Anolis sagrei: one gene and its partners. The protein of the gene in region 1 interacts with the protein of each later gene in a biochemical or structural test. Links are inferred from orthologs where the notes say so. Each region holds a gene or a part of one and is shown in the gene's direction. Other genes may lie near its edges.

Region 1 (8,428 bases):
GACCAAGGCTGTCTCGGTACCATGCCCCGGCCTAAAGCCAGACTGTGCCGGATCCAGATAATCCGTGTCTACCAAGAATGCCTGGAGTTGTGAGGCCACCACATGTTCCATGACTTTGCCCAAAAAGGGGAGATTGGAAACAGGCCGATAGTTGACGAATTGAGTGGGGTCCAGTGATGGTTTTATCACAGCTTGCTTTAAGCTGGCTGGAATTTTGCCCTCCCGGAGGGAGGCATTAACCACCACCTTCACCCACTCAGCCAATCCCCCTCTGGCCTCCTTCAGAAGCCAGGATGGGCAGGGGTCTAGGATGCATGTGGTAGCTCTCATTCCTCCAAGCACCTTGTCCACATCCTCGGATTGAACCAATTGAAATGAATCCATCAAAACATATAGATAGATATATTTATAGATACTTAAATTTGTTATACAATATATATTATACATTATATAATATAAAAATATAATATAAAATGCAGTTTTATTATCATTTATTTTTTGTGTGTCTATAGAGAAATATATAAATTTCTCTCTATAGATACACATCTCTCTATATACACATATAGATAGATATATTTATAGATACTTAAATTTGTTATACAATATATATTATACATTATACATTATATAATATAAAAATATAATATAAAGTGCAGATTAATTATTATTTATTTTTTGTGTGTGTATAATATATACATCTCTCTCTATAGATACATAAAAAGATATATTCAATCCAAGCCAAATGAGATATAATACAAAAAGGCCGCATTTCTTACCTCCAACCGAAGCCAGCTCCTCTGGAGTTCCTTCCTCCTCCTCTCTCCAACGTTAAATAATTTCAAATTTCTGCCTCAGTTCCAAACTGGCCAATCACGGTGCGCCCGCCCTGATTACATGCACCTGATTGGTCAGAACGAGGGAGCCAAGTGGGCGGGGAAAAGTATTCAAATGAGGACACCGCCTCTTTCTGTTTGCAGCTAAAACAAAACGCAAAGGCTGTTGGGTAATGTAGTCCTGAGGCCGAGGAAGAGCCAGAGACAAGCCTTCGCGGTGCTTTAAGAGGAAACGACAAATCCCAGAAAGCATAGCGCGGAGGGAGCCAATAAGCAACGTGCTGCGTGGCCAATCCTGAAAGAGAAAGGGAGAGGCGAGGGGAAACAGTGAAGTAGAGTGCGGCTGGTTCCAAGAGGAGTGGGCGTTTTGTTTACACCACAGCTTTCCTGGATTCCTATCGACTCCTTTAGATGTATTGCTGGATTGAATGAATGAACACTCAAGGCTGGTGTTTAATATATTTCAAATGTACACTCAAGGCTTGTGTTTATAATAGTTAAATGGCTGCTTGTGGAGTGCCCTTTGGGGAGATAAAGCAGGGTGTAAATAAACAATAATATAGGAATATAATATATATATATATATATATATAGGAAGTGCCCTTTGGGGAGATAATGCAGGGGATGAATATATAATCATCATCATAAACATAATAATATAGGAAGTGCCAATTGAGGAGATAAAGCAGAGTATAAAATAATATAATAGTAATAATATAAAAATAAATAATAATAATAATAATATAGAAAGTGCCCACTGGGGAGATAAAGCAGAGTATAAATGAGTATAATAGTAATAATATAATGGAAGTACCTTTTGGGGAAAGAAATCAGGGTATAAATAAATATAATAATATGATGATAATAATAATAATATAGGAAGTGCCCTTTGGGGAGATAATGAAGAGTATAAATGAATATACTACTAATAATAATAATATAATGGAAGTGCCTTTTGGGGAGAGAAATCAGGTTATAAATAAATATAATAATATGATAATTATTATTATTATTATTATTATTATAATATAGGAAGTGCCCTTTGGGGAGATAAAGCAGAGTATAAATGAATATACTAATAATAATATAATGGAAGTGCCTTTTGGGGAGAGAAATCAGAGTATAAATAAATATTATAATATGATAATAATAATGACAATTATAATAATATAGGAAGTGCCCTTTGGAGAGATAAAACAGAACATAAATGAATATAATAGTAATAATATAATGGAAGTGCCTTTTGGGGAAAGAAATCAGGGTATAAATAAATATAATATGATAATAATAATAACATTTATAATAATATATAGGAAGTGCCCTTTGGGGAGATAATGCAGATTATAAATGAATATACTACTAACAATAATATAATGGAAGTGCCTTTTGGGGAGAGAAATCAAGGTATACATAAATATAATAATAATAATATGATGATAATAATAATAATAATAACAATTATAATAATATAGGAAGTGCCCTTTGGAGAGATAAAACAGAACATAAATGAATATAATAGTAATAATATAATGGAAGTGCCTTTTGGGGAAAGAAATCAGGGTATAAATAAATATAATATGATAATAATAATAACATTTATAATAATATATAGGAAGTGCCCTTTGGGGAGATAATGCAGATTATAAATGAATATACTACTAACAATAATATAATGGAAGTGCCTTTTGGGGAGAGAAATCAAGGTATACATAAATATAATAATAATAATATGATGATAATAATAATAATAATAACAATTATAATAATATAGGAAGTGCCCTTTGGAGAGATAAAACAGAACATAAATGAATATAATAGTAATAATATAATGGAAGTGCCTTTTGGGGAGAGAAATCAGGGTATAAATAAATATGATAATAATAATAACATTTATAATAATATATAGGAAGTGCCCTTTGGAGAGATAAAACAGAACATAAATGAATATAATAGTAATAATATAATGGAAGTGCCTTTTGGGGAGAGAAATCAGGGTATAAATAAATATAATAATATGATAATAATAATATAGGAAGTGCTCTTTGGGGAGATAAAGCAGAGTATAAATGAATATACTAATAATAATATAATGGAAGTGCCTTTTGGGGAGAGAAATTAGGGTATAAATAAATATAATAATTATAATATAATAATTATAATAATATAGGAAGTGCCCTTTGGGAGATAATGCAGAGTGTAAATGAATATACTACTACTAATAATATAATGGAAGTACCTTTTCGGGGGAGAAATCAGGGTATAAATAAATATAATAATATGATAATAATAATATAGGAAGTGCCCTTTAGGGAGATAATGAAGAGTATAAATGAATATACTACTACTAATATAATGGAAGTGCCTTTTTCGGGCATAATAATAATATAGGAAGTGCCCTTTGGCGAGATAAAGCAGAGTATAAATGAATAATAATAATATAATGGAAGTTCCCTTTGGGGAGAGAAAGCAGGTTATGAATATATATAATTATCATATAATAATTATAATACAATAATAATATTAAGACCCCTTTGGGGAGATAAAGCATGAATAAATATTATAGTAGTAGTAGTAGTAGTAATATAGGAAATGCCCTTTGGGGAGAGAAAGCAGGGTATAAATAAAATAATAATATAGGAATTGCCCTTTGGGGAGAGAAAGCAGAATATAAATAAATATATTTAATAAGGGGGACTCAGAGCAGCTTACAAGATATATATACATACAATATATTATATTACTAGTTGTTCCCTGCCACGCATTGCTGTGGCCCAGTCTGGTGATCTGGAATATAAAGTAATGAGAAAGTGTTGGTTTTCTAATATATGTAATGTCTTTCTGCTTGTGGGTAAACAGTACTTCTTGCTCTTTCTTTGTCAGTGTTGATGTGGAGAGTGTCTGGTTTGCCTACTCTGGAACATGCAACATATCATAGTCCTTCTTTAGGGGTCCTTTTCAAATCTAGGATACTATATCTGTGTGTGTGTGAATCATATCTATCTATCTATCTTATCTATATCTATGGCTGGATGGCTCTTTGTCAGGAGGGCTCTGATTACATTTTATTATAATACTAGCTGTCCCATGCCACGCGTTGCTGTAGCCCACATGGGGGTTCGGTGTGGGAGGTTTGGCCCAATTCTATCGTTGATGGGGGTCAGAATGCTCTGTGATTGTATTGGCATATTGAGTATTCATGTAGAGTTTGGTCCAGACCCAACATTGTTTGAGTCCACAGTGATCTCTGGATGTAGGTGAACTACAACTCCAAAACCAAAGGACACTGCCCAGGAAACCCTTCCAGTATTTTATGTTGGTCATGGGAGAACTGTGTGCCAAGTTTGGTTCAATTCCATCGTTAGTGGAGTTCAGGATGTTCTCTGATTGTAGGTGAACTATAAATCCCAGCAACTACAACTCCCAAATGAAAAAATAATTTTTTTTAGAGAGAAGGACATACATTGGGTGTCAATTCGTCCACTGGTTTTTGAGTTCTGTTAATCCCACAAACGAACATAACATTTTTATTTATATAGATTTATTTATTTGCCACTTTTATACCCCATCCTTCTTAACCCCGAGGGGGACTCAGGGTAGCCTTACACATTGGCAACAATTCAATGCCATAAAAACAATATACAATGAAATAAATATTTACATTAAAAATGAAAGAATTAAAACATCTAAACAATTACATCGATTATTAAAATCACACATTTCACTGGCACTTTTGCTTTCAGGCAGTTCAATGTACAAGAGGTTTATGTCATGCACAGGATTATGAAAATATATTGCATTTGCAATTATTTTCAGACCGTGTGTATAAGATGTACAGGAATAAATGCATTTACTATATCCAATTTACTTTATGTATCCCATACATACAAATACATATTACATACATGCAAGTATAATTATTCAAAAAACCTGGATCAATGTGTATGTATGTTTATATATATATATATATATATATATATATACACATACACAACTGTATATATGTATATATAATATATACATATATTATAATCCCCATTATATATATAAAATGGGGATTATAATTTATGTATATATTATATATACATATATAGTTTCACATATATTTATAGATACCTAAATATATGTATGAATACAATATATTTTGTACAATTCTGACTTTTTGCTTGTGTCATAATGGAAATCATATCTATTCCTACAATGTTCCATTATTATCTATCATATTATCATTTCAATATATAGAGATCTATAAAATTCCCAATGGTTGGAGCTCCGGCCACAAGGGGGCGCGCGCGCCTTTTCCTAGCTTAGACTCAAGGAGACGAACTGCGCAAGCGCAGAGTCTGAAGGCTTCCTCTAAGGTGGGGATTCCATATTTTCCGCATGCGCACTACAGCTCTTCTCACACACGCCCAACTCGCCCCCCCGCCTTCGAGCCGCGCATGCGCAACATGGGCTCGAGCGCGAGCACAGCTTCGCGCATGCGCATTCCACCTTCGCCCGGCCGGTGAAGGAGCAAGGCAGCAGGGACGCCGAAACGGCCGCTTAACGGGCATAAACGGAGACGGAAGCCCTGCCGGAGCCGTCGAAGCCTTCTGGGGTTCCCTCTTGCGAGCATTTTTCCTCAGCCGCCTCTTCGCAAAGAAAGCCGGTTGCCGGTGAAGAGAAGACGAGCGAGGGGCGGGGCTGAGGTAAGATTGACAGGAGGGGCGGCCAATGAGTAGACGGCCACTCTGGGCCCGCCTTCCCTTCTACGGGATTGGCTGGGAGCAGGGCTGGGGGCGGAGCTAGGCTTTGTCCTGCCGGAGTTTGAGAAATGAATGGGAAGAGAAAGGGGAGGGAGGCGCGTGACGTCACTGGGCTCACATTCAGGAGATCCAGCTTCCTGCCAAGTTTGCAGAAGTTCCTTTTTAAAGGGAAATGAAGAGAAAGGGGCCAGGAAGACAGTTCCCTCTTGTCTCCTGTGTTATGCTAATTATATATAAAAGAGTATTTTCTGTTGGTCATGGAAGAACTGTGTGCCAAGTTTGGTTCAATTCCATCATTGGTGGGGTTCAGAATGCTCTTTGATTGTAGGTGAAGTATAAATCCCAGCAACTACAACTCCCAAATAACAAAATCAATCTTTTTGAGTGAAGGGCATACATTGGGTTGTTAGGTGTCTTGTGTCCAAATTTGATGTCAATTTGTCCAGTGGTTTTTGAGGTCTCTTAATCCCACAAATGAACATTATTTATTTAGAAGTTTTCTATACCGGCCTTCTCACCTCAACGAGGGACTCAGGTCGGTTTACAGCATATATGCAAGTACAATAATATATAAGTACAACAAAGTGCAACGTCGTTACGTATTAAAATAGTACAATAAAATACAATAAAAACATCATCATCACAATTACCTAAGCCAAGTCGTCAATCCAGTCATAATCATAGTCACAGTTCATCACTTCGTGAACTAGCTAAAGGATAAAGTGGTTTAGTAATGGCATAGGAAATATCATGAAAACCGAGTAAATTAACAGGATCAGTTAATATTATATAGGACATCAGATTGAATGATAAGTCATGATACAGGTCATTTGTCATAAAAGTCATCAGTCGAAAGCACGACAAAACATCCACATCTTTAATTCCTTACAGAATGTGGCTAGGGAGGGTGCCAGCCTAATATCCCTGGGTAGGAAGTTCCAGAGATGGAGGGCCACCACCGAGAAGGCCCTCTCTCTCATCCCCATCAGCCATGGCTGAGACGGGGGTGGGAGCGAGAGAAGGGGATCCCCGGAAGATCTTAAGGACCACATGGGCTCGTAAGGGAGGAGGTGGTCAAGCAGATAGGCAGGTCCTGAACCATTTAGAGCTTTATAGGTGATAACCTGCACCTTGTATTTTATTTAGAAGTTTTATATACCGGTATTCTCACCTCGAACGAGGGACTCAGGCCGGTTCACAACATGTGTTCAAATACAATAATATACAAAAACAACACAGTGCATCATCATTACAGATTAAAAAGTACAATAAAAACATCATCATCACATTACCCAAGCCAAGTCGTCAATACAGTCACAGTTCATCATCCTCCTTCCTTGTGGATGGAGGTTATAGCTTCAGTCCTCGAACGCCACATTCCAGAACCAGGTCTTTAGTAGTTTCCTGAAAGTCAGGAGGGAGGGAGCAGATCTACTCTCAAGTGGGAGGGAGTTCCAAAGCCGGGGAGCCACCACTGAGAAGGCCCTGTCCCTCGTCCCCACCAACCATGATTGCGAGGGTGGTGGGACCGAGAGCAGGGTCCCCCGAAAGATCTTAATAGCCTTGATGGTTCCTAGGGGAGAATCCGTTCAGACAGGTAAACTGGGCCGGAGTCGTTTAGTCATTTTTATTTATATAGATTAGGACACGGCTGTACTTTGGTGAGAAACCAACACTCTTTGGCAGAGAAGGCTATGAATACCTATATTTATTTATTTATTTATTTACTTTATTTGTATACCGCCGTTTCTCAGCCTAGCCGGCGACTCAACGCGGTTTACAACAGGATAAAAACAGTCAACAATCTACAATTCAGAACAAAAGAGCACAATACACAATATTACACAACAGCAACAACCAAATGTGTCTCATAACTAGAGCCGTGATCCAAAATTCATCGTCCATATTTCAATTCCTGTGATCGTCACATTCATTGCACTGATTAATCATAAAACTATAATTCCCAGGATTCCATAGCATTGAGCCATGGCAAGTAAAGTTATATGGAACTGCATTAATTCAAAATATAATAATAATAATAATAATAATAATAATAATTTTATTTCTCACGTGTATCTTAGTAAGCAGTTTGCTTGCAGAAATTGCCAGCATTCACCTTTTCTTGATTTTCCTTGAGATCAAAGCTTTGAACAAGAAACTATTGGGGGAGGGAAAATAATTTCCAACATAGGAGAGAAATGGAATGGATGCAGCAGCATTCCAGCCCTTAGATCCTGTTAAATGTTTGAAACCAGGAAGCCACAGCCAGCTTGCTCAATTGCCAGGGGTTCTGGGAGCTGAAATCCAAAACATCTGGAGGACAAAATGTTGGAAATCTAAGGAATGATAGCAGTGTGACACTACTTTAATTGCTGTAGCTCAGTGCTATAGACATCTAGGATTTGTAGTTTGTTTTGGTACCAGACAGAAAAAGCTAAATATCCCAGAAAAATACAAATCCCCAGAATTCTATAGTCTTGTGCAATGGCCGTTCAAGTTGCGTCAAACTGCTGTAATTCTTTCTTTAAACTAATTTCTATTCAGAAATAAATAAAACATAGTAAAAGAGCAGAAATAATAAAAATAAGCAGATTTTTACAATATTTATTGCTAAACTAACAACTTATTATTTATGTATTTATTTATTGCATTTCTGTACTTCTTTTCTCACCCCTGAGGGAACTCAAAGTGGTTTACAACATAATGGCAAAATTCCATGGTTCACATATATGTAAAATATGTCACATATCTAAACATAGCATATAACTGTGGATTAAAACCATTAAACTATAAGCAGCTATCTAATTAGCCACTGCAACATACTACAAAACTAAATGAAGCAAACGCATT
Region 2 (7,389 bases), on another chromosome or scaffold:
CAAGAGTTCTTTCTCCCAACCTGGACATTCCACAGGTATATATATAAAACTCACTTACCTAGTTTCCAACAAACCTCACAACCTCTGAGGATGCCTGCCATATATGTGGGTGAAAAAGTCAGGAGATAATGCTTCTGGAACATGGCCAGACAGCCCAGAAAACTCACAGCAACCCAGAGATTCTGGCCATGAAAGCCTTTGATGATTATAAGATGCACACTAATGTCAGTGCCACCAAGACAAAGAGAGGCATCAACTGGTGAGGAGGGGGCATCCCAGAGTGGGGGGGGGGGGGAGCCACAGTGGCACAATGGGTTAAATTCTTGTGCTGCTGGACTGCTGACCAAAAGATGGTCAATTCTCTCACACCAGAAGTGACTTGCAGTTTTACATGTTGGACTGTTTTACATATTGATAGCATCGTATGGTGCTTGTGTGAGGCCGCCCTGAGTCCCTCTTTGGGGGGAGAAGGGCAGGGTAGAAATACATTAAATAAATAAATAAATAAATTTATCAAGTCGCTTCTGACACGATAAAAAAGTCCAGAAGTGGGAGGAAGCATCAAAATAAGCCAAAAAGCAACAACAGGGGAACTAAAGATGAAAACGGGGGAATGCTCAGAGAGCACCGAGAGGGAGGCAAGGGAACTGGAGAAGAAGATGGTTGTATTGAAGTTAAGCATTTAGGTTCAGCTACAACAGAGTAGTATGATTAGTATCTATCTATCTATCTATCTATCTAATCTGTATATTCATCCAGTTACCTATATACCTATCTGTCCATCATGCCTGCATATTTATCTACCTATCTCCCAACTGACGTGCCTACTCTATCTCTATCTATCTGATTTATCTATCTATCCATCCTATCTGCCTATGCTTCTGCCTATCTGACTATCTATGTATTCATTTTATCTGCTTATTTATCTCTAGTCTATCCATCCATCCATCCATTGTAATTATCTCTAATCTGTCTATTTAGCTATCTGTCCTATCTACCTAACTATCTGCCTATTTATCTCTAATCTGCCTATCTATCTATCCATCCATCCACTCTATTTGTCTATTTATTTATCTATCCTATCTGCCTATTTATCTGTAATCTGCCTGTCTATTTATCTATCTATCCATCCTGCCTATTGACCTCTAATCTATTTTCTATCTATCTAATCTATCTATCCATTCTATCTGCCTAGGAGCCTCCGGTGGCACAATGGATTAAACCTTTGTGTCGGCAAGATGGAAGACCTACAGGTCGGAGGTTCAATTCTGGGGAGAGCGCGGATGAGCTCTCTCTGTCAGCTCCAGCTCATCATCCTCCCACAAGGATAGTAAAACATCAAAACATCCAGGCGTCCCCTGGACAATGTCCTTGCAGATGGCCAATTCTCTCACACTAGAAGCAACTTGCAGTCTCTCAAATCGCTCCTCACACACACACACACACAAATCTGCCTATTTATCTATCTACCTATCTCCCGACGACCGACCTACCCCGACACAAAACAAATCTCTATCTCCCTATTTATCTGTCTATCTATCTATCTATCTATCTATCTAATCTGTGTCTATCCATCCAATTACCTATCTACCTATCCATTTTATCTACCTATTTATCTCCCTATTTATCTGCCTATCTACCTAATCCGTCTATCCGCTCAGTTACCTATCTGTCTATCCATCCTATCTGCCTGTTTATCTGTCAATTTATCTGTCTATCCATCCATCCATCCTATCTGCCTATTTATCTCCCTGTTTATATGCCTATCTCTTTATCTGCCTATTTACCTATCTGCCTATCTATCTACCTAATCTGTCTATTCACCCAGGTACCTATGTCTATCCATCCTATATGTCTGTTTATCTGTTTATCTGTCTATCTATCTATCTATCTATCTATCTATCTATCTATCCTATCTATCCTATCTGCCCATCTATCTCCCTATTTATCTGCCTATCTCTTTATTTATCTGCCTATCTATCTATCTATCTATCTATCTACCTATCTACCTAATCAGTCTATCCATCCAATCTGCCTATTTATTTGTCAATGTATATATTCATCCATTCTATCTGCCTATTTATCTCCCTATTTATCTGCCTATCTATCTACCTACCTAATCTGTCCATCCTATCTGCCTGTTTATCTGTTGATTTATATATCCATTAATCCATCCATCCATCCATCTATCCTTTCTGTCTATTTATCTGCCTACTTGTCTGCCTATCTATCTATCTATCTATCTATCTATCTATCTATCTATCTATCTATCTGCCAATCTATCTATCTAACTATCTATCTGCCTATCTAACTACCTAATTGGTCTATCCACCTATCTACCCATACATCCTATCTGTCTGTTTATCTGTTGATTTATCTGCCTATTTATCTGCATATCTACTTATCTATCTACCTACTCTGTCTATCCATCCAGTTACCTATCTATCTATTAATCCTATCTGCCTGTTTATCTGTTGATTTATCTATCTATCCATCTATCTCCCTTTTTATCTGCCTATCTCTTTATTTATCTGCCTAATTGGTTTATCCATTCAGTTACCTATCTACCTATCCATTCTATCTGCCTGTTTATTTGCTGATTTATCTATCCATCCATCCATCCTATCCGCCTGTCTCCCTGAGGAGCCCCCGGTGGCACAATGGGTTAAACCCTTGTGCCGGCAGGACGACAGGTCGGAGGTTCAAATCCAGGGAGAGTGTGGATGAGCTCCCTCTGTCAGATCCAGCTCCCCATGCGGGGACATAAGAGAAGCCTCTCACAAGGATGATAAAACATCAAACATCCGGGTGTCACCTGGGCAACGTTCTTGTAGGCGGCCAATTCTCGCACACCAGAAGCAACTTGAAATTTCTCAAGTTCTCCCTATTTATCTGTCTATCTATCTATCTATCTATCTATCTATCTAATCTGCCTATCCATCTAGTAACCTATCTTTCTATCCATCCTATCTGCCTGTTTATCTGTTGATTTACTTAGTCATCCATCTATCTGCCTATTTATCTGCCTATCTATCTGTCTATCTATCTGCCCATCCACCTATCTACCTATCTGGGCATCCCCTGGGCAACATCCTTGCAGACAGCCAATTCTCTCACATCAGAAGCAACCTGCAGTTTCTCAAGTCACCCCGACACAAAACAAAACTCTATCTCCCTATTTATCTGTTTATCTATCTATCTAATCTGGCTATCCATCTAGTTACCTATCTTTCTATCCATCCTATCTGCCTGTTTATCTGTTGATTTATTTAGCCATCCATCTATCTGCCTATTTGTCTGCCTATCTATCTATCTATCTATCTATCTATCTATCTGTCCATCCAATTACCTATCTACCTATCCGGGCATCCCCTGGGCAACATCCTTGCAGACAGCCAATTCTCTCACATCAGAAGCAACTTGCAGTTTCTCAAGTCACTCCTGACACAAAACAAAACTCTATCTCCCTATTTATCTGTCTATCTGTCTGTCTGTCTAATATGTCTATCCATCTAGTTACCTATCTGTCTATCCATCCTGTCTGCCTGTTTATCTGTTGATTTATGTAGTCATCAATCTATCTCCCTATTTAACTGCCTTTCTCTTTATTTATCTGCCTATCTATCTATCTATCTATCTATCTCTCTATCTATCTGACCATCCAGTTACCTACCTATCTGGACATCCCCTGGGCAACGTCCTTGCAGGCGGCCAATTCGCTCACACCAGAAGCGACTTGCAGCTTCTCAAGTTGCTCCTGACACAAAACAAAACTCTATCTCCCTATTTATCTGTCTATCTATCTATCGATCGATCAATCTATCTATCTATCTAATCTGCCTATCCATCTAGTTACCTATCTTTCTATCCATCCTATCTGCCTGTTTATCTGTTGATTTATTTAGTCATCCATCTAGCTGCCTATTTATCTGCCTATCTCTTTATCTATCTATCTATCTATCTACCTATCCAACGTCCTTGCATATGGTCAACTCTCACACCAGAAGCAACTTGCAGTTTCTCAAGTCGCTCCTGACACAAAACAAAACTCTATCTCCCTATTTATCTGTCTGTCTGTCTGTCTATCTATCTATCTATCTATCTAATCTGCCTATCCATCTAGTTACCTATCTTTCTATCCATCCTATCTGCCTGTTTATCTGTTGATTTACTTAGTCATCCATCTATCTGCCTATTTATCTGCCTATCTATCTGTCTATCTATCTGCCCATCCAATTACCTACCTATCCGGGCGTCCCCTGGGCAACGTCCTTGCAGGCAGCCAATTCTCTCACACCAGAAGCAACTTGCAGCTTCTCAAGTTGCTCCTGACACGAAACAAAAAAACAAAACAAAAATCGAGCTCCCTATTTATCTGTCTATCTAGCTGTCTATCTGATCTGCCTATCCGCCTAGTTCCCTACCTGTCTATCCCTCCTACCTGCTTGTTTATCTGCCGATTGATCTCTCCATCCCCTCTGGTTCCCTATCTCTCTGCCTGCCTGTTTCTCTCGCTCCGGATCTCTCTCTGGGGCTCCGAAGGGGTTAAGCCCCCCCCCCTTCTCTCTCTCTGGAGCTCCTCCTCCTTGTGGCGGGGGGCGGCGCCTAACCTGGCTGGCTGAGCATAGGTTCAGGAGCGCGTCCTGCTCAGCGCTACTCGGCCCGCGGCAGCGGAAAGAGGCGCAGGTACGGTGGCGGTGCTCGTCTTCCTCCTCGTGCCCGCGCTCCTGCTCCTCGCCGTGCTCTTCCTGATGCGCGCCTCGCCCGACTGCCCGGCCATGTGCCCGTGCGCGGTGCCCAGCCCTGCTGCTGGCCCTCCGAGGGCGCCCAGCATGAGGGAGCGCTCGCTGACGGTGACGGCGGCGCGGCTGAAGGCCATCGGGGATGAGCTGCATGCGCGCGTCGAGGGCCAGCATGCGGAGGCGGAGACGGGGTGGCGGCGGCGGGCCTCGGGCACCGGCCTGGCCATCCCGGTCCTCCTGCTCGTGGCCTGGGCCTGGCTCAGCCGCCGCCGGAGCATGTAGCGCCCTTGAGGCCGCAGGTGAGCCGGGACCACGCACCCACGCACCCCGGGCGGGAAGGCGGGCTCTCTGTCGGGAGGGCTTCGCTGGGGCCCTCCGGTTCTCGCTCCTGGCCTCTCTCCCAACTCCAGGGAAGTCGAGAACGCATCGAAAGGGGATAGATAGATACATAAAGAGAGCCCTCTCGGGAGGTTCCCAAGCAAAGGCAGCGTGGCCATCTGTCGGGAATGATTTGACTGTGCCTTCCCAATTTAAAGCTGGGTTGGACTGGGCGGCTCTTGGGAGTCTCTTCCAACTCGAGTGAAATTCAGAACTAGAAAGGGGATAGATACATTCCCAAGCAGTGGCAGCATGGCAATCTGTTGGGAATGATTTGATTGTTCCTTCCCAGTTGAAAGCTGGGTTGGACTGGGCGGCTCTTGGGAGTCTCTTCCAACTCGAGTGAAATTCAGAACTAGAAAGGGGATAGATACATAGAAAGAGCCCTCTCAGGGCATTCCCAAGCAGAGGCAGTGCGGCCATCTGTCGGGAATGATTTCATTGTACCTTCCCAATTTAAGCGGGTTTGGACTGGATGGCTCTTGGGGGTCTCTTCCAACTCCAGTGAAATACAGAACGCCTAGAAAGGGAATAGAAACATATATAGAGCCTTTTCGGGAAGTTCCCAAGAAAAGGCAGAGTGGCCATCTGTCGGAAATGATTTGACTGTGTCTTCCCAAATTAAAGTGAGGTTGGACAGAATGGCTCTAGGGGGTCTCTTCCAACTCGAGTGAAATTCAGAACTAGAAAGGGGATAGATACATAGTGGCATTCCCAAGCAGTGGCAGTGTGGCCATCTGTCGGGAATGATTTGATTGTGCCTTCCCCAATTAAAGAGGGGTTGGACTGGATAGTCCTTGGAGGTCTGTTCCAACTCAACTGAAACTCAACATGTAGAAAGGGGATGGCTCAGGCAGGGGCCAACTTTAGCTCTCCCTCCAGGTACTTTGGACTTCAGCTCCCACACTCCCTAACACCCTCAGGCCCTTAGCCAGTTAAGCAGCTGAGGGGGGAAAGGAAGGGGCCTGAAGCTGTTAGGGATTGTGGGAGTTGAAGTCCAAAACACCTGGAGGGAAGGCCTAAGTTAGCCTCTGTCTGGGATTGATAGAGCCCTCTGTGGAGATTTCCAGACAGAGGATGCATGGCCCTCTGTCAGGAATGTTTTGCTGGTGCCCCGCTGCATGACTGACTGGATGGTATTTAGGGGTCCTGTCAGAAGCGTGTATTGCCCCATGCAGACCTGACAGTGCAACACAGATCTGCCCCTGGCTCTGCTTCTAGTCCAAGTCAAACATCATCAGTGGAAAGGCATCTTAGAGTTGGAAAGGACCCCCAAATGCCATCCAGTCCAACCCCATTCTCCCAGGGGAAAGCACAACCTAAACCTTCCCGACATATGGCCTCGGTTTCCAAAGCTGCCAGGGAAGGAGGCTCTTCTGTGGCAGTGGATTCCACTCCTTGAAAGGGACCTCTCAAGAGCCACCCAGTCCAACCCCATTCTGCCACATAGGAGTACCCAAGCAAAGCATTCCTGATGGATGCCCATCCAGCCTCTACTTTAAAACCTCCAAGGAAGGGGACTCCTCCAAAACATGGACCCCCAGGCAGTCCATGTTTTATTAGTTAGAAGAGCCATGCAGTCCAACCCCATTCTGCCAGGCAGGAATACACAATCCAAGCACGCCCGACAGATGGCCATCCAGACCGCTTCAAAACCTCCAGAGAAGGAGACTCCTCTGGATCCCCAGGCAGTCCAGTTCCGTCCCTTTTTACATTAGAGTTAGAAGGGCCATGCAGTCCAACCGCTTTGTGCCAGGCAGGGATGCACAATCGAAGCACTCCTGACAGATGCCCATCCAGCTCGTTTCAAAACCTCCAGAGAAGGAGACTCCTCTGGACCTCTAGGCAGTCCGTTTTCCATTAGAGTTAGAAGAGCCATGCAGTCCAACCCCTTTGTGCCAGGCAAGGATGCACAATCCAAGCACTCCCGGCAGATGCCCATCCAGCCCCCGTTTCAAAAAGCCCAGAGGAGATTTATCAATCTCCTTCTGGAGTTGCTTTGCCCAGGACTGGACACAGGGTTCTTATTCCAGGTGAGGTCTGACTAACTCAGAAAGAGAGTGGCGGGACAATGACACTTGACTCCTTCTGATGCAGCCCTAAAATTGGGCTGCAGGAGTTAACGGAGGGGAGCTACTGCCATCTACTACTGTAAGGCTGTTTTGAGTCCAGGTGCGAAGGAAAGGGTTGCAGGGGAAAACAAACTCAGGTCCCAGACACTCTTCCCCAAATGCTGGCCTCATTCCGCGTGCCTCCCCCCCCCCCCCCT
Region 3 (8,054 bases), on another chromosome or scaffold:
TCATGGGCGGTACCATTCCCAGGTCAGGAAATAACTCAATGCTTCTCCTAAGTGAAATAATCCTCTTCCTGGTGATTGACCTCTTCTCTACTCTGAGAGGTGTGCCTTTTTGCCTTGCTTTGCTGCTCCATGGCTTACCAATAGGTGACTTTCAGCCTCCAGTAAATTAAATTCATAATGAATTTTCATTAACCACTGCATAGTTAAAACATACATATCTTCTCCTGCTAGTCTAGTGCATTAAGCAGACTGGAATATGTCCAAATTGCATGTATTAAAAGTGTCCCCTGTTCACTACTGTGAAGCTCTTTGCTACAATGCCTTGGGCTTGGTTCACCAGGACATGGGAACCTCAGTGGGTGAATCTACATTGTAAAATGAATGTAGTTTGACTAGGAGCAAAGCTAAAAGAATGTAATGTACAGGTGGTCTTTTCATCCCTCCTCCCTGTTGTAAGACACGGACCCACAAGAGCCAGAAAAATAGTACAGGTCAATGACTGGCTTAGAAAATGGTGTCAGGAGGAACGCTTTGGCTTCCTCGACCATGGCCTGCTTTTCCAGGAGGATGGCCTACTGGCAAGGGATGGGGTGCATCTCACACAAGTAGGAAAACACCTTTTTGCTCACAGACTCGCAAACCTCATTAGACGCACTTTAAACTAGGTCCACCGGGGGAGGGGGACAACAGCCTTGCGAACACTACTTTACCCATAATGTCTGGGAATCACCAGAAGGCTAAACGGAGGGCTGCACAAACACAACAAGGACCAAGTACCAAAAGCACAATAATCCCAATTAAACAGCTCAAGGGAAGATCTCAGGGGCTCACATGTCTTTACACTAATGCACAGAGCATGGGAAATAAACAAGACGAACTCCAACCTTTAGGACAACACCACAAATATGATATCATAGGGATCACTGAAACCTGGTGGGATGACTCCTATCGCTGGAATGTAGATATCGAGGGGTATAACCTCTTTCACAGAAACCGAACAAAGGGGAGAGGAGGCGGAGTAGCCTTATATGTCAAAAACTCTTATGCTGCAGAAGAGATTCAAGACAGCAATCTGGGAAACCAGCTTGAAATCATCTGGATAAGAATCAAGGGAACTGGGACTCAAAAAGATGTCGTTGTAGGCGTCTACTACAGACCCCCAAGCCAGGAGGAAGAACTTGATGAAGTCTTCTGCCAACAGTTGACCAAACAGGCACAGAGAAGAGATGTAGTAGTCATGGGCGATTTCAACTATCCCGATATTTGCTGGAAAACAAACTTGGCCAAGAGTACAAGGTCCAACAAATTCCTCGCTTGCCTTGCAGAAAATTTCATGGTCCAGAAGGTAGAAGAGGCAACAAGGGGATTGGCTACTCTTGATCTCATCCTAACAAATGCGGAGAACCTGATCAATGCGGTCGAAGTGGTAGGATCCTTAGGGGCAAGTGACCATGTGCTCCTGCAATTTGAGGTACAAAGGAAGGCCGAAACTAAGACAAGACAAACCCGCATTTTGGACTTCAGGAGAGCTGATTTCCAAAAAATGAAGGAAACGCTGAGCAGCATTCCGTGGACACAGATACTAAAAAACAAGGGAGTTACGGATGGATGGGAATTTCTCAAGAGTGAAATACTCAAGGCGCAATTGCAAACCGTGCCAACAAAGAGAAAAAATAGGACAAGTGCAAAGAAGCCAGAATGGATGTCCAAAGAACTTCTAACTGTGCTAAGACACAAAAGAGACATGCACAAGAAGTGGGAAAAGGGAGAAATCACCAAAGAAGAATTCAAACAAATAGCCAACACCTGTAGGGAAAAGGTCCGCAAGGCTAAAGCAAAAAACGAGCTCAGACTTGCCAGGGACATTAAAAACAATAAAAAGGGCTTCTATTCTTATGTCAGTAGAAAAAGGAAAAACAAGGAGGCGATAGGACCTCTTCGAGGAGAAGATGGGGCAATGCTGACAGGGGATAGGGAAAAGGCAGAACTACTTAATGCCTTCTTTGCCTCGGTCTTCTCACAAAAAGAGAGTCTTCAACCTCAGCAAGATGGAGTGGATGAGGGATTGGAGGACATCCAACCCCAAATTGGGAAAGAAGTCGTCCAGGAATACCTGGCCGCTCTTAATGAGTTCAAGTCCCCAGGGCCAGATCAACTACACCCCAGAGTATTGAAGGAACTAGCGGAAGTCATTTTGGAACCATTGGCAACCATCTTTGAGAGTTCTTGGAGAACGGGAGAAGTTCCAGCAGATTGGAGGAGGGCCAATGTGGTCCCAATCTTCAAGAAGGGAAAAAAGGATGACCCAAACAACTACCGTCCGGTCAGCCTCACGTCGATACCGGGCAAGCTTCTGGAAAAGATTGTTAAGGAAGTGGTCTGCAAACACTTAGAAACAAATGCAGTCATTGCTAATAGTCAACATGGATTTATCAAAAACAAGTCATGCCAGACTAATCTGATCTCTTTCTTCGATAGAGCTACAATCTGGGTAGATGCGGGGAATGCCGTGGATGTAGCGTACCTGGATTTCAGTAAGGCCTTCGACAAGGTCCCCCATGACCTTCTGGCAAGGAAACTAGTCCAATGTGGGCTAGGCAAAACTACGGTGAGGTGGATCTGTAATTGGTTAAGTGGACGAACACAGAGAGTGCTCACTAATGCTTCCTCTTCATCTTGGAAAGAAGTGACAAGTGGAGTGCCGCAGGGTTCCGTCCTGGGCCCGGTCCTGTTCAACATCTTTATTAATGACTTAGATGAAGGGCTAGAAGGCATGATCATCAAGTTTGCAGACGACACCAAATTGGGAGGGATAGCCAATACTCCAGAGGACAGGAGCAGAATTCAAAACAATCTTGACAGATTAGAGAGATGGGTCAAAACTAACAAAATGAAGTTCAACAGTGACAAATGCAAGATACTCCACTTTGGCAGAAAAAATGAAATGCAAACATACAGAATGGGGGACAATGCCTGGCTCGAGAGCAGTACGTGTGAAAAAGATCTTGGAGTCCTCGTGGACAACAAGTTAAACATGAGCCAACAATGTGATGTGGCGGCAAAAAAAGCCAATAGGATTTTGGCTTGCATCAATAGGAGCATAGTGTCTAGATCTAAGGAAGTAATGCTACCCCTCTATTCTGCTTTGGTTAGACCACATCTGGAATATTGTGTCCAATTCTGGGCACCACAATTTAAGAGAGATATTGACAAGCTGGAATGTGTCCAGAGGAGGGTGACTAAAATGATCAAGGGTCTGGAGAACAAGCCCTATGAGGAGCGGCTTAGGGAACTGGGCATGTTTAGCCTGAAGAAGAGAAGGCTGAGAGGAGATATGATAGCCATGTATAAATATGTGAGAGGAAGCCACAGGGAGGAGGGAGCAAGCTTGTTTTCTGCTTCCCTGGAGACTAGGATGCGGAACAATGGCTTCAAACTACAAGAGAGGAGATTCCATCTGAACATGAGGAAGAACTTCCTGACTGTGAGAGCCGTTCAGCAGTGGAACTCTCTGCCCCGGAGTGTGGTGGAGGCTCCTTCTTTGGAAGCTTTTAAGCAGAGGCTGGATGGCCATTTGTCAGGGGTGATTTGAATGCAATATTCCTGCTTCTTGGCAGGGGGTTGGACTGGATGGCCCATGAGGTCTCTTCCAACTCTTTGATTCTATGATTCTATGATTCTATTTTAACTGTCATGGCTAAATGCTGTGGAATCCTGGGAGTTCTAGTTTTACCAGGTTCATTAGCCTTTTCTGCTCCCTCACCAAACTATCACTCCCATAATTCTATAGCCTTGAGCCGTTGCAGTTAAAATTGTATCCAACTGCATTCATTCTACAGTAGCTGCAGATGGATACAATAATTATGCTGCCTCCTGACTTTCAGAAAGATGGTAAAATCTTGGCTTTGGAACTTAGCATTCTCAGATTGATGATGGAATCAATAACTGTTGACTACAAGGCGGATGGGATGAATTTGTGATTTACCTTGACGAATCAGCTTTATGTAATTCTTGATCTGTATTTTAATGTGTTTTGATGTATCAATGTACTATGATGTTATTATGCTTTAGTTTATTTGCATATTGATTCTCTGTTGTTAGCCGGCCTGAGTCCCTCCTCGGAGGTCGAGAAGACCGGGTTATAAAAGCTCTAAATAATAATAATCATAATCACAATCATAATAAATAATAATAAATAATAATAATTTGCAAAGGCCTGCTCAGAAATATACAACAACAGCTGTGCCTGGATAGAGGTGTAGTGCAGTGCACGGGGGGAATGTATGCCTAGTGGATACTACGCCTTGGAAGGATGCCTGTGTAGACTCGCTCTTCCTGATGCAACTATTTGCACAGCAAGACTGGTTTGAAACTGTATTAGTCAGCCAGTGTAGCCGAGGCCTAAAAGAGTTCTTCCACCATCCTTTTGTACTCCAACTCCCAGAACCCTGGGCATTCAGGGAGGATGCATCGCCCCAAGAAGCCGAGCTGTGGACCCGTGGTTCGCTCGCAGCACCACGCAGGCGCACGGTCTCGCGCTGCCTCGCCTGCCCGCCTGCCGCAGCCTCCAGTGCCAGCCCCCTGGCTCTTCTTGGGGCGCGTGAAACGCTCAACGGGAGGCAGGCCCTGGGATTGGCCGAGCCGCTTCCGAAGCCCCGCCCCCTCGGCAGGAGCCAGCCGGGCGAGGCGGCGAGGCAGGCAGGCAGGCGGGAGCGGGCGCCGCAGTCACGTCTCGCAGCCGCGCGGGGAGGGTTCCGCGATGCTGGCCTCGGCGCAGGACAGGCCCACCTCGTTCCGCCTCTCCTCCTCCTCCTCCCCCTCGGCCCCTTCCCCCTCCCCTTCGCCCCTCTCCGCCGCCTCCTCGCCAGCTGTCACTCCGCAGAAGCCCTGCTGCAGCCACGGAAAGGAGCCCGGCGGAGCGGTAAGCTGAGCCCACGCTGCGTCGCGGTAGAGGAGATCCAGTAGAGAAGCAAAAGGGAGGGAGAGAGGGGTGGAGGAGGCTTGGAGCCAGGCGCTGAGGCCTGGGCGAGGAGCCATCGCCTTGCCCTCCAAGCCCTGACCTTTGGCGCTGTGCTCTCCCCCTTGCCAGGCCTTCCCTTTCTTCCCAAGGAGGCCGCCTTGGCCTGAGCGCCAACCCCACCCGCGGGCGCCTCTTTCTGGAAGCGCTGTCCACCCAATCCTCCCTGCCTCCTCCTCCTCCTCCTCCTCGGCATCCTTCCCCGGGCGGCGCCTCGGCCTTCCCTCCCAGGATCGGGGCCTGGCGGGCCATTGGGCGGCTATTTTAAGCCGCGCCATCTGCTCTCCCTCGAGAAGAGAGTGGGATTTGGACAGGGCTCCTTTCCGTCCGGCGCCTCCGCCAAAGGCAGCGCTGCGTGACCTTCCGGGAGGCAAAGCACGCCTCGCACGAGTCGGAGAGAAGGCCCACGGCTCTTCTTTGAAGGCTCGCCTCGCCCGGATCGCGTTGCTTCCCACGTTTCCGGGTCCCCTTTCGGCCTCCGTCGCCTCTTCCTCTCATTCTCCCTCTGCCCCCCCCCCCCGGGCCGCCCTCTAAACGCCCTTCATGCCCTTGGAGCTGCGGGAAGGAGGTCTGCCGCTTCCTCCTCTCCTCAGGGATGCTTCCTGCAGAGAAGAGGAAGCTCCGAGGCTTTCTCTCCCAGATGCCTCCCGCACTGGCTTCCAGTGGACTAGTAAGAGAGAGAGAGGGCTGCAGGCCTTCGGAGCTATCAGGAGGCAAACATGAGACCGGACTCTCTAGTAAAGTTCAAAAAGCACTTTTAGTGGTTTTTAAAAAATTAATTTCCGTGGAAGAGAGTTAAAGAGTTAAAACTCAGTCGATTTGCTGGATTTTTAAAAAGTGCTTCCCTTGGGAACAATGTGTACCCTCAAGACACTTCCAATTTTATCACCAGGTTGTCTTGGGAAGATTTATACAGAAGGGTTTGAACTTCACTCTCCTCTGAGAATGTGTGGCCAAAGTCATCCAGTGGGTTTCCATGACTGAGCAGGGGCTTCAATCCTGATCTCCAGAGTCATGGGGTACATCTACATTATTGAATTAATCTAGTTTGACACCTGCTATGGTTCAGTGCTATGGAATTGTGAGGGTTGTAGCTTTACAAGGTCTTCATCCTCCATTGCCTTCAAAACACTTTCAACCTATCACCAGGGTTTCTTCGGAAGATTTGTACAGAAGGGAGTCAGCTTTGCCTTCTTCTGAGGTTGAGAGTGTGTGACTTGCCCAAAGTCATCCAATGGATTTCCATGACTGATCAGGGGCTTCAGTCTTGGTCTCCAGAGTCATGGGCTGCATCTGCTTTGTAGAATTAATGTAGTTTGACGCCTATGATTCTGTGCTATGGAATTGTGAGAGTTGTAGCTTTACAAGGTCTTCATCCTTTTCTGCCAAAGAGTACTGATGCTTCACCAAATTACAAATCCCATGATCCCTTGGCATTGAGATATAGCTGTTAAGGTGGTGTCAAACTACTATAATTCAACAATGTAGATGCATCTGTAGTCCAACATGCAAACCATGTAACTGGGTCATAGTTGCAAACATTAAATATGATATTAAAACAAAATGGAGAAAGCTTCTTCAGTATTCATTAGGCATGGTTAAGAGAAAACTAAGTACCTTCAAATTTGACTGGATGTAATGTGAAAGACCTTTTTATCAATGTTACACAAAATGATTTGATGATACCTCAGATTATTTGGCACTGCCTTTAGGACTCTTCCAATGTGACCTGCTTTACAGTTGATTTGTGTGAAGCAAGCAATTAGGGTTGGATTTATTTGTTGCCCTGGGCTGAAAGCTACTGTCATTCATAAACAGTAGATTTACTGCAGCTGACAGAGTTTTAACATTTTTTGGATGTTCATACATTTCTTTTTCTAGCCTTCAAGTTGAGGTGTCATTCTCTGTTCTCTCTTTTTAGTCCTGGGCTTCTTCCAGAATTCTATTGCAGCAAAATTCTCTCATTCAGCCATGTTGTGCAGATGTAGATTTGTTGGGATTAACCTCCCAGTTGTTGTGCTTAGGACAGCATAGCAATCTCGGTTTGATTCATTATTCAGTGAGCCAACTAAGATTCTTAGAAGTAATGACAGAGGGGTACTCTTAAAGAGTTGCTTAATATAATTTAAAAGTCGATGGTGATGTTGCAACATGTTATTTGTCATGTCATGACAGGAAGTGTTATGGGAGTGAATATTTCAAGAATAAAACCCTATTCCTGGTAGTTCTGATTCCCCTGTTCTCTCCCGTATCCCCTTTTCATCTCTGGTGGTACAATGGGTTAAAGCCTTGTGCCAACAGGACTGCTGACCGAAAGGTCGGTGGTTTGAATCCGGGGAGCATCTCTCAGTTCCAGCTTCTCATGCAGGGACAGGCCTATCACAGGATGTTAAAATATCCAGGCATACCCTAGGCCTGTGATGGGCAACCTTTTGAGCTTGGTGTGTCAAAATTTGCTAAAAACCTGAGCATAACTTGGGTGGGGTGTCAACTTCGAGGGAACCCCCCCCCCCAATAATATTGCAATATTTATAGTTTAAATAAGAAAAATGTATATTCCATGCTGAGTTATGCAGTGAACAATACTCAAATGTGCAGATGCTAAATTTGTAGAGCCTTTTACAAATTTAAGGATGGAATTAGATTGGCTCTTATAAGGTGTACTTCTCTGTATGCGGCCGCATGTGGCCGTGTGTCATCAAAAATAGCCATGCGTGTCAGTGCTGACACGCGTGTCATAGGTTCATCATCATGGCCCTAGGCAAAGTCCTTGCACATGGCCAATTCTCTCACATCAGAAGTGGCTTGCAGTTTCTCAAGTTGCTCCTGACAAACACAAAAAAATTCTCATGCTCGTATAATAAGCTTTCAATATTGCCTTTGAGGATAGAAACTGACTGCTTGCCCCACCACCAGGCCCGTAGCCAGGATTTTGATTCGGGGGGGGGGGGGGGGCTGAGTCTGCGTGAAAGAGGGTCTACCCTAGCAAACCTTTTGTATCGTTACCACAATCCCCCCATGCATATGGGATATACTG
Region 4 (8,060 bases), on another chromosome or scaffold:
AACAAATGTTTGTATACCATTCATGCATATGGATGAAGGCAGGGGTCTTAATTTTAAGCAAGGCTGGGTTTTTTTGTACAGACAACCAATATCTCAGATGTTTTAAAATCATAATTAGAAGAGATCACAGGTGCCATCCAGTCCAACCCCTTGCTGTGCAGAAATATGCATTCAAAGCACTCCCGAAAGCATTTTGCTTTCAAAAGTATGTATTCAAATGTGACACCCTTCTGCTCTTCTTCCCTTATGCTTCATTGAGGACTAAAAAGCACTGTAAGTTAAGCAGAAGCAATCTCCAGCCATCCTTTTCCTTGACCAATACTTCAGTGTTGCCAACAGTAATACGGATTAGTGGCTCAGCTACGCTGTACAACTAGAGTAGCCTCTAGGCCAGACTTGCACTATTTGAAATGCATTCAAAGCACCACAAAATTCTATAAGAGCTCTCAGGAAGGCAGCAAAGAGGCTTTTAGGACAATCCTGTTGAGATCAGTCTTTCATTACACTGGAGATTTTTAATGTTTTATAGATCACTTCTTACCACTATCACTGCCAATGTATTTGCTTTTCTGGTGAGTTCCAGTCCTGCCAGAAAATTCTTGGGAATCCCTGTCTTTGGCCCTCTGTGCCTCAGCACATTAGCACTTGAGTAAAATTCACCAATGTGGCCTTTATCCTGATATGCTAAGAATGCATCCAGGACATTAAGTAGTTGATGTGATCTCTAGATGCTCTGACTTCCTTTCTGTGCTTTGTAAACAAATGTAGCTTTATTTGAAATGTCATCTTTGTCTTGTGAAAGGTGGGGATGATTTGTCGTGTTGTTACGCAGATACATATCACCCCTGCCTCATGGCTATTTTATTCAAAGCCCTTTTTACTACTACTACTACTACTCAAGGTAAACTGCATACATTCTGTTCAGAGCAATGGCTGTTGAGCATCTTAACCAGCAGCATTGCAATCTACTGGGAAATGTTCCTATTTATAGTGCCAGTAAAATGAATAGAGTGATTATTCAGAATACTTCCCACTCATTTCATTACAGCAAATGAAGGATTTCTGTTGGATCATCAGGACTTTTAGCTGGCACTAAATCACAGTTGAATGTTTCTGTAACCTATTATTAGATGATATTTATAGAATATTTTTATTGAATTGTTGGCTTTATTCTTACAGAAATCTCTATTCTCTCAAAGTAAAAGCACTGAGATTCAAAATTAGGGAATTATATTGCAATCCATTCAGTGATGCAGACTTCAATAAGATATGTGTTTGATGTGAACACTGCATGTTGCTCTCTGGAATGTTTCTTGCTAAATAATGCATTGAATCTTCAGTTGGAATTTGGTTATAACCATTTAGCATTACTTTGCTCTGTACACAGGTTAAAGGCAATATTGATAATCTGAAATTCAAATGATTGAGTGGAATTAATGTGGGGAAACAGCATGGCCAGAAACTGAAAAAGTAATCATGCAAGGATTTCAGTAGAAAAGTCATGTTTTGTGTATTAACATTTACGATGCTCTCACACGAATACAGCTGGCAGTACACTGGTCACTAAATGCACCAAAATAGTGTTCTTGATTATTTTTGTATACTGTAAATGAAGCTGTATCCTCGTATTGTACACCAGTTTTCTTTGCTTAATAAAGCCTTACATGACAGGGAGTATAGAATTTGGTCTCTTGAGTCCTTTGTGTATATATACGTACATATATACGTACATATACGTACATAGGAAATCGATCCATACTCATGCCTGGACTGCTTTTCAGAATTTCTGCCAAAGTCAATTTCTTTTTGAAAGACAGTACTGTGTACAACACATATTATGTGAACATGTAACACGTGAATCAGGAGAAGCTAAACACAGTAAAACAAAAAAGGGAATAAATAATATTACAAGAATCTCTAAATGCTAATACCCACTGCTTAACTCATAGCTTTGTTGAGAACAGGTTGAAAACTGCTTCCAAAAACTGCAGAAACTATTGATGGCAAATGTGTCAATGGATCAGCAGTCCTGACAGCACATCAGAAACATGGATGTGGACAAAATGGTTTGTTGCTGTTGTAAATGTTTAGCCCACAAATGGAAAGAAAGCAACCCACAAAGCAGCAGGTGTTGCTAAGACTGGGATGCAATTAAGGAGGAGGTGTTGTTAATCAGCACCTTCAAGACTTTCATCAGAAAGAACTCTGCAGTGGCAGCAGTTGCAGAAGATTCATAACAGAAGGTCTTGCTGACAGTGTTTGCCTGCCTTGATTTTTAAAGCAGTGACAAAAGTGACATATGTTGCTCGATTTCAAGCATATTTCTGAACAATACTTTTTTTGGCAGTCTTATATTTGGCAGGAAACACCATAATTGCCTTTGTGTCTTGTCATTTCACTAATATATCTCAAATATTTGTCAGAACGCTGGACACATCAAGAGCTTACATAAATCCATTCTGGGGGTGGGTGGGAATTAAAATAGAAAGTACATGTCAATATGTATGACTACAAATTTTCTAAACTGCAATCCTATTGTGGCCGATAGGATAGAGAATACCAAGAGTGATCCTTTGTGGAGGCAGAGAAGTAGTTTTATTTTCAGCTGAGCGCCTGGTGTGGAATTTCCCCCCCAAAAGCAAACCAAAGTGAAGATAAAGGTGTTGACTTTCCCTTTTTTACATCTTCAAATACAGGCAAACAAAGAAACATGCTCCTACGTACGTTAACATAATCACTATGTCACTTTAGCATCATAGAAATATCTTTCTACAGCAGCTTACAATAAGTTAGAGATACTAGGATTCGGCTACAGATCAATCAAGGGGCCTATTTTTTACCTGACAGGAGAGATGGAGAGAGTATGGCCCGTACCACCTCTAACTTGAGCCTTGTACACAAATCTCCTTCAGCATCCTTTTGTCCTGTCGGCTTTCCAATACAGAGAATCTGATTTTTCTACATTTCAGTACTTCTAATGTGCATACAATATATTTGTCAATGCCTATATATTGCAATATCTCCACATCACTACGTATTTCTTCCATAGTTAGGTCCTAATGAGTTTGGAGAATATATTTGGAGCATAGATGCTGCTAGTAGTGCTGGAATGTTCAATGTTTCTGTTCAGTTATGTTAGGCGAAATGCACTGGCAACTCAAATCTCTAAAGCAGGCAAGGGCAAACTTTGGCCCTCCAGGTGTTTTGGACTGCAACTCCCACAATTCCTAACAGCCGGTAGGCTGTTAGGAATTGTGGGAGTTGCAGCCCAAAACACCCGGAGGGCCAAAGTTTGCCCTTGCCTGCTCTAAAGTATCATCAAACACATCTACACTGTCAAATTAAAGCAGTTTGATCCCACTTTAACTGCCATGGCTTAATACTATAGAATCCTGGGAGCTGTAGCTTTAGGTCTTTTGCCTTCTCTGCCAAAGAGTGCTGAGGCCTCACCAAACTACAACTCCCATGATTACTTAGCATTGAGCCATGGTGGTTAAAGTGGATTCAATTCACATTATTTCTATATTTATTTATTTACGACATTTATATGCCGCCCTTCTCACCCTGAAGGGGACTCAGAGTGGCTTACTATACACACACACACACACATATACTAGCTGTCCCCTGGAAAATAAAGGAACGAGAAAGTGTTGGTTTCTAATATATGTAATTTCTTTATGCTTGTGAGTAAACAGTATTTCTTGCTGTTTCTTTGTCAGTGTTGATGTGGAGAGTGTCTGGTTTGCCCACCCTGGAACATGCAACATATCATTGTCCTTCTTTAAGAGTTCCTTTCAAATCTATGATACTGTATCTGTCTGTGTGATTCATCTCTCTCTCTGGCTGGATGGTTCTTTGTCAGGAGGGCTTTGATTACATTTTCTTGCCCTGATGAAGGGAGTTGGATAGGGTGGCCTTAAGCATTTTCTGTTGGCCGTGTGTGGGAAGTTTGCCCCAATTCTGTCGTTCGTGGGGTTCAGAATGCTCATTGATTGTAGGTGAACTGTGAATTCCAGTGACTACAACTCCCAAATGTCAAGTTCTATTTCCCCCAAACTCCACCAGTATTCATATTTGGGCATATTGAGTGCTTGTGCCAAGTTTGGTCCAGATCCATCATTGTTTGAGTCTACAGTGCTCTCTGGATGTAGGTGAACTATAACTCCCAAACTCAAGGTCAATGCCCACCAAACCCTTCCAATATTTTCTGTTGGTCATGGGAGTTTTTTGTGCCAAGTTTAGTTCAATTCCATCATTGGTGGAGTTCAGAATGCTCTTTTGATTGTAGGTGAACTATAAATCCTAGCAACAACAACTCCCAAATGACAAAATCATATTTTTTTTTGAGTGATGGTCACTCCTTGTGTTGTGAGACGTTTTGTTGCCATATTTGGTGTGATTTCGTTCATTGGTTCTTTTGTTTTTAAGGTACTCATTATGCACAGAGCATTTATATATATATAGATATTATTAGCATAGTACAATATCAGTATTATATATTACTATATTGCATTTTGCCATTACATTGTAATATTATTATATTATTATTAGTATTATATTGTATTACATTATAATATTATAAACATTATATGTATAGACAATATATTATCTATAGTGTAGATGCAGCCCAAGACTTCTAAAAGACTTCTGGTTTGGGCTCATGAAGACTTCTGGAGAATTAAAAAACTTGCATTTTTTGTAAATGTATAGACTTAAAAGTGTTACCAAAATCGAGGATATCCTGCTGAGCAAAACATTCCTAACTAATGAAGTGCCTGTCACTTTAAGAACGAGTCCTCCAATCAGCTTCGCCTCTAGGCGTTGTCCCCGCCCCTTTCGCGAAAAAAACATCCCTGAGGCGCTTCCTCCCAGGCTGTCACTTTAACAAATCAGTCATCCAATCAGCTTCGCCGCTAGGTATTGTCCCCGCCCACATTCCAGGGCCTACATTCCGACCCGCCTTTTTTTCCCTCTTACTTAATCCCTTACGCGATTGGTTGACATCTCAGTGACGTCATGCCAAGCGGGTTAGAAAGCGGGCGTTGAGTTTGGTTGCTCGGGAGGTTTTCCCGCGCAGGAGAGAACGAAAGTCCACATCCGGGTACCTTTGGAGTGAGTGAGTGAGTGAGGGAGGGGCGAAGGAATGCCGAAGCGCTCCTGCCCGTTCGGGGACTCGGCCCCGGCGCAGCTGAAGACCCGCGTGAGGCTGAAGGAGCTGAGCCAAGGCGTCCTGGGCGAGCAGTACCAGCGAGCCATCTTCGGTAAGGGCAGCAGAGCTTCTTAGCGGCTTCACGAGGGCGGCACTGTTGCGCATGCGCTTCTTGGAGGCTTCACGATGTTGCGCATGAGCAAAGGGAGTGGTTTTTTTTCCCCCCTCTCAGCGAAACTTTGGTCAAGCCTTGTTTTTCCCAGTCTCGCGAGACTTGAGCCTTTTCTCTCTGATACTTTGTCAGATAGGGTTTTTCCAAATGGGCTTATCAGTGGTTCTCAACCTGTGGGTCCACAGGTGTTTTTGCCTACAACTCCCAGAAATCCCAGTCAGTTTCTCAGCTGTTAGCATTTCTGGGAGTTGAAGGCCAAAACCTGGGGACCACAGGTTGAGAACCACTGGCTTAGTTAGTTAGAAGGGGAAGACCCAATTTAGTTGCCATGGCAACATCCTGATTAGGCCTCTGAGGATGCTAAAGGCCTTTCCAGGCTGCACAGGTGTTTGGGACTTCAACTCATTGGCCATTGGTGGCTTTGAGAAAAAACTGGATTTGTTTAGTTATGTTATTTTATTTATATCCCGCTTTATCTCTCTGTACAGAGACTCAACGCAGCTCACAATTAAAAAAACATTACAACTTAAAATATTCAAATATACAATAATAAAACAGTGTATCATTATATATTATCAGGAGTAATCATATTTAATATGTTAATATTATTATATTAAAGGTAAAGGTTTTTGACTCTGGGGATTGGTGCTCCTCTCCACCCAGCCTCTGCCAACCTAGCAGTTCAAAATGTGACTAGATCAATATGTACTGCTCCAGCAGGAAGGTAACGGCGCTCCATGCTGGCCACATGACCTTGGAGGTGTCTACGGACAACGCTGGCTCTTCAGCATAGAAATTGAGATGAGCACCAACTCTCAGAGTCGGACATGACGAGTAAATGTCAGGGGATAACCTTTACCTTTACCTTATATACATATTGATAATCATATTTTTAGTCCTCCATGTGTTTTGGACTTCAACTTCAGCTCCCTCCCCATCATGATATTTTAATATTTAAACATGGTTCTCATGTCACCTCTTAATCTTTGCTTCTTCAAGCTGAATATGCCCAGCCCTTTAAGACACTCCTCACAGGGCTTGGCTTCCAGACTACTGACAATTTGGGTCGGCCTTCTCCAGCTGGTCAATATATCTTTCTTGAACTGTGGTGCTCAGAAATTGACACAGTACTCCAAGTAGAATGCTGAAACTTTCTTACTGGCTACACAGGATTGTTATGACTTCATGCAGGCTTGCTACCAAGAAAATGCTAAATTCATTGTTGTTACTCTATGGCAGGCATGAGCAAACTTGGGCCCTCCAGGTGTTTGGACTTCAACTCTCAGAATTCCTAACAGCCAGTAGGCTGTTAGGAATTCTGGGAGTTGAAATCCAAAACACCTGGAGGGCCCAAGTTTGCCCATGCCTGCCATGGATGTTAATTCAGACCACCATCCATGACATTCTCACCTCTACTTTTCGTCCCTTGTTTTGCAGAAAAAACAAAACAGCTTCTCTTCCGAGGTGCCCAAACGTATATGGAGAATCCGTGCATTGGGAGCACAGCAGGAGAATGTCTAAAAGCAGAGTTACCAGAACCACTTGCAGACAGGCCGGACGCATGTTCGCAGCATAAATGCAACGGACAAATGTTAATTGGACACGATGGGAAACTTCGGCAGCCTAGTGCAAGAGAAGCAGGTGACTTGAGTTACGCCAGCTGTTCAGTTTCCTGAAAGGGAATTCCAGCTTTTGCACTGTCCTCGGAAACCTATCTACATAGATAAAGGGTAGTCATGCATGTGAACGTCCCTTCCTGATTTCTGGCCAGTATTTATCACCAAACCATTTTGATTCACATGGTCTGATGGACAGCTTCTTTTATAGATAACTTGAGTACTGCAATTTGCTTTCTAAATGAAGTACTTTTCTAAAGCAACCCTTCTTGCTGAAATCTGTTCTGATGTTGAATCTCTCTGTGTTTGTGCACAGCTCTGCCTATAGGAGGGTCTAAGGCCTGCTCCTCGTGTGTGAGAACAGTGGACACCAACAGAGCTTGTGCCCAGTGCCATCGGTACATATGTCAGCATTGCAGCAAAGTTTGCAGCTCTTGTAATGCTGTTGCTTGCTTCTTATGTTCAGTCGTAGAGTAAGTGTTTACAACTTGAGCTTCCTTTAGTTTTATTGAACATCGGAAAATATTTCGCAGTTGCTATTTGCGACATTTTCATTTGCAATTCTTGTATGGTAAGAACTTGCTGTATATACTCAAGTATAAGCCTAGTTTTTCAGTCCCTTTTTTAGGCTGAAAAAGCTCCCCTCGGCTTATACTCGAGTCAAGGTTATTTATTATTTTAGTCATTAGTATTTTTATTACATGTATTATTTTACTCTATTATTCTATTTCTTATTTTGCTGTATTATTATTATTATTATTATTATTACTATTACATTTGCAGTATTTTACCCTATTATTATTATTATTATTACATTTACAATATTTTACCCTATTATTATTTTATTACATTTATTATTTTACTCTATTATTACTGTTTTTATTGCGTTTTCATTATTTTACTCTATTATTTTTATTACATTTATTATTTTAATAATGAGTTCATTTACATTGAAGAAGGTGAGAATAATGGTTTGATCAGAGTTGGACAGTTTTATCTTAAATTACAGTTTTATGTAAATATTCAAAAATATTTAGCCTATTGATGTAATTTTGTTTAATGTAATTAATGTAATTTTATTGGTTATCTCTCTTTATTTTGAAATTGACCCATAACGGCTGCA

The links.
Region 2: the proteins of BCL2L1 (region 1) and HRK interact in a biophysical measurement, tested with the Homo sapiens proteins (3 studies listed by BioGRID and IntAct, with this or other methods). The link is inferred for Anolis sagrei from reciprocal best matches to the Homo sapiens genes BCL2L1 and HRK.
Region 3: the proteins of BCL2L1 (region 1) and VDAC1 form a complex in vitro, tested with the Homo sapiens proteins (4 studies listed by BioGRID). The link is inferred for Anolis sagrei from reciprocal best matches to the Homo sapiens genes BCL2L1 and VDAC1.
Region 4: the proteins of BCL2L1 (region 1) and SIVA1 form a complex in vitro, tested with the Homo sapiens proteins (2 studies listed by BioGRID and IntAct). The link is inferred for Anolis sagrei from reciprocal best matches to the Homo sapiens genes BCL2L1 and SIVA1.

Annotation. Positions count from the first base shown.
Region 1 is NC_090024.1:242,223,063-242,231,490, reverse strand, and holds the start of BCL2L1 (bcl-2-like protein 1), read left to right. Parts: upstream 1-5,301; 5' UTR 5,302-5,521; intron 5,522-8,428. UniProt on the Homo sapiens protein: Potent inhibitor of cell death. Inhibits activation of caspases. Appears to regulate cell death by blocking the voltage-dependent anion channel (VDAC) by binding to it and preventing the release of the caspase activator, CYC1, from the mitochondrial membrane.
Region 2 is NC_090034.1:42,693,751-42,701,139, reverse strand, and holds the start of HRK (activator of apoptosis harakiri), read left to right. Parts: upstream 1-4,606; 5' UTR 4,607-4,751; coding exon 4,752-5,024; 3' UTR 5,025-5,041; intron 5,042-7,389. UniProt on the Homo sapiens protein: Promotes apoptosis.
Region 3 is NC_090022.1:92,316,090-92,324,143, forward strand, and holds the start of VDAC1 (non-selective voltage-gated ion channel VDAC1), read left to right. Parts: upstream 1-4,683; 5' UTR 4,684-4,759; coding exon 4,760-4,921; intron 4,922-8,054. UniProt on the Homo sapiens protein: Non-selective voltage-gated ion channel that mediates the transport of anions and cations through the mitochondrion outer membrane and plasma membrane.
Region 4 is NC_090021.1:328,505,753-328,513,812, reverse strand, and holds the start of SIVA1 (apoptosis regulatory protein Siva), read left to right. Parts: upstream 1-4,952; 5' UTR 4,953-5,143; coding exon 5,144-5,261; intron 5,262-6,758; coding exon 6,759-6,962; intron 6,963-7,253; coding exon 7,254-7,410; intron 7,411-8,060. UniProt on the Homo sapiens protein: Induces CD27-mediated apoptosis. Inhibits BCL2L1 isoform Bcl-x(L) anti-apoptotic activity. Inhibits activation of NF-kappa-B and promotes T-cell receptor-mediated apoptosis.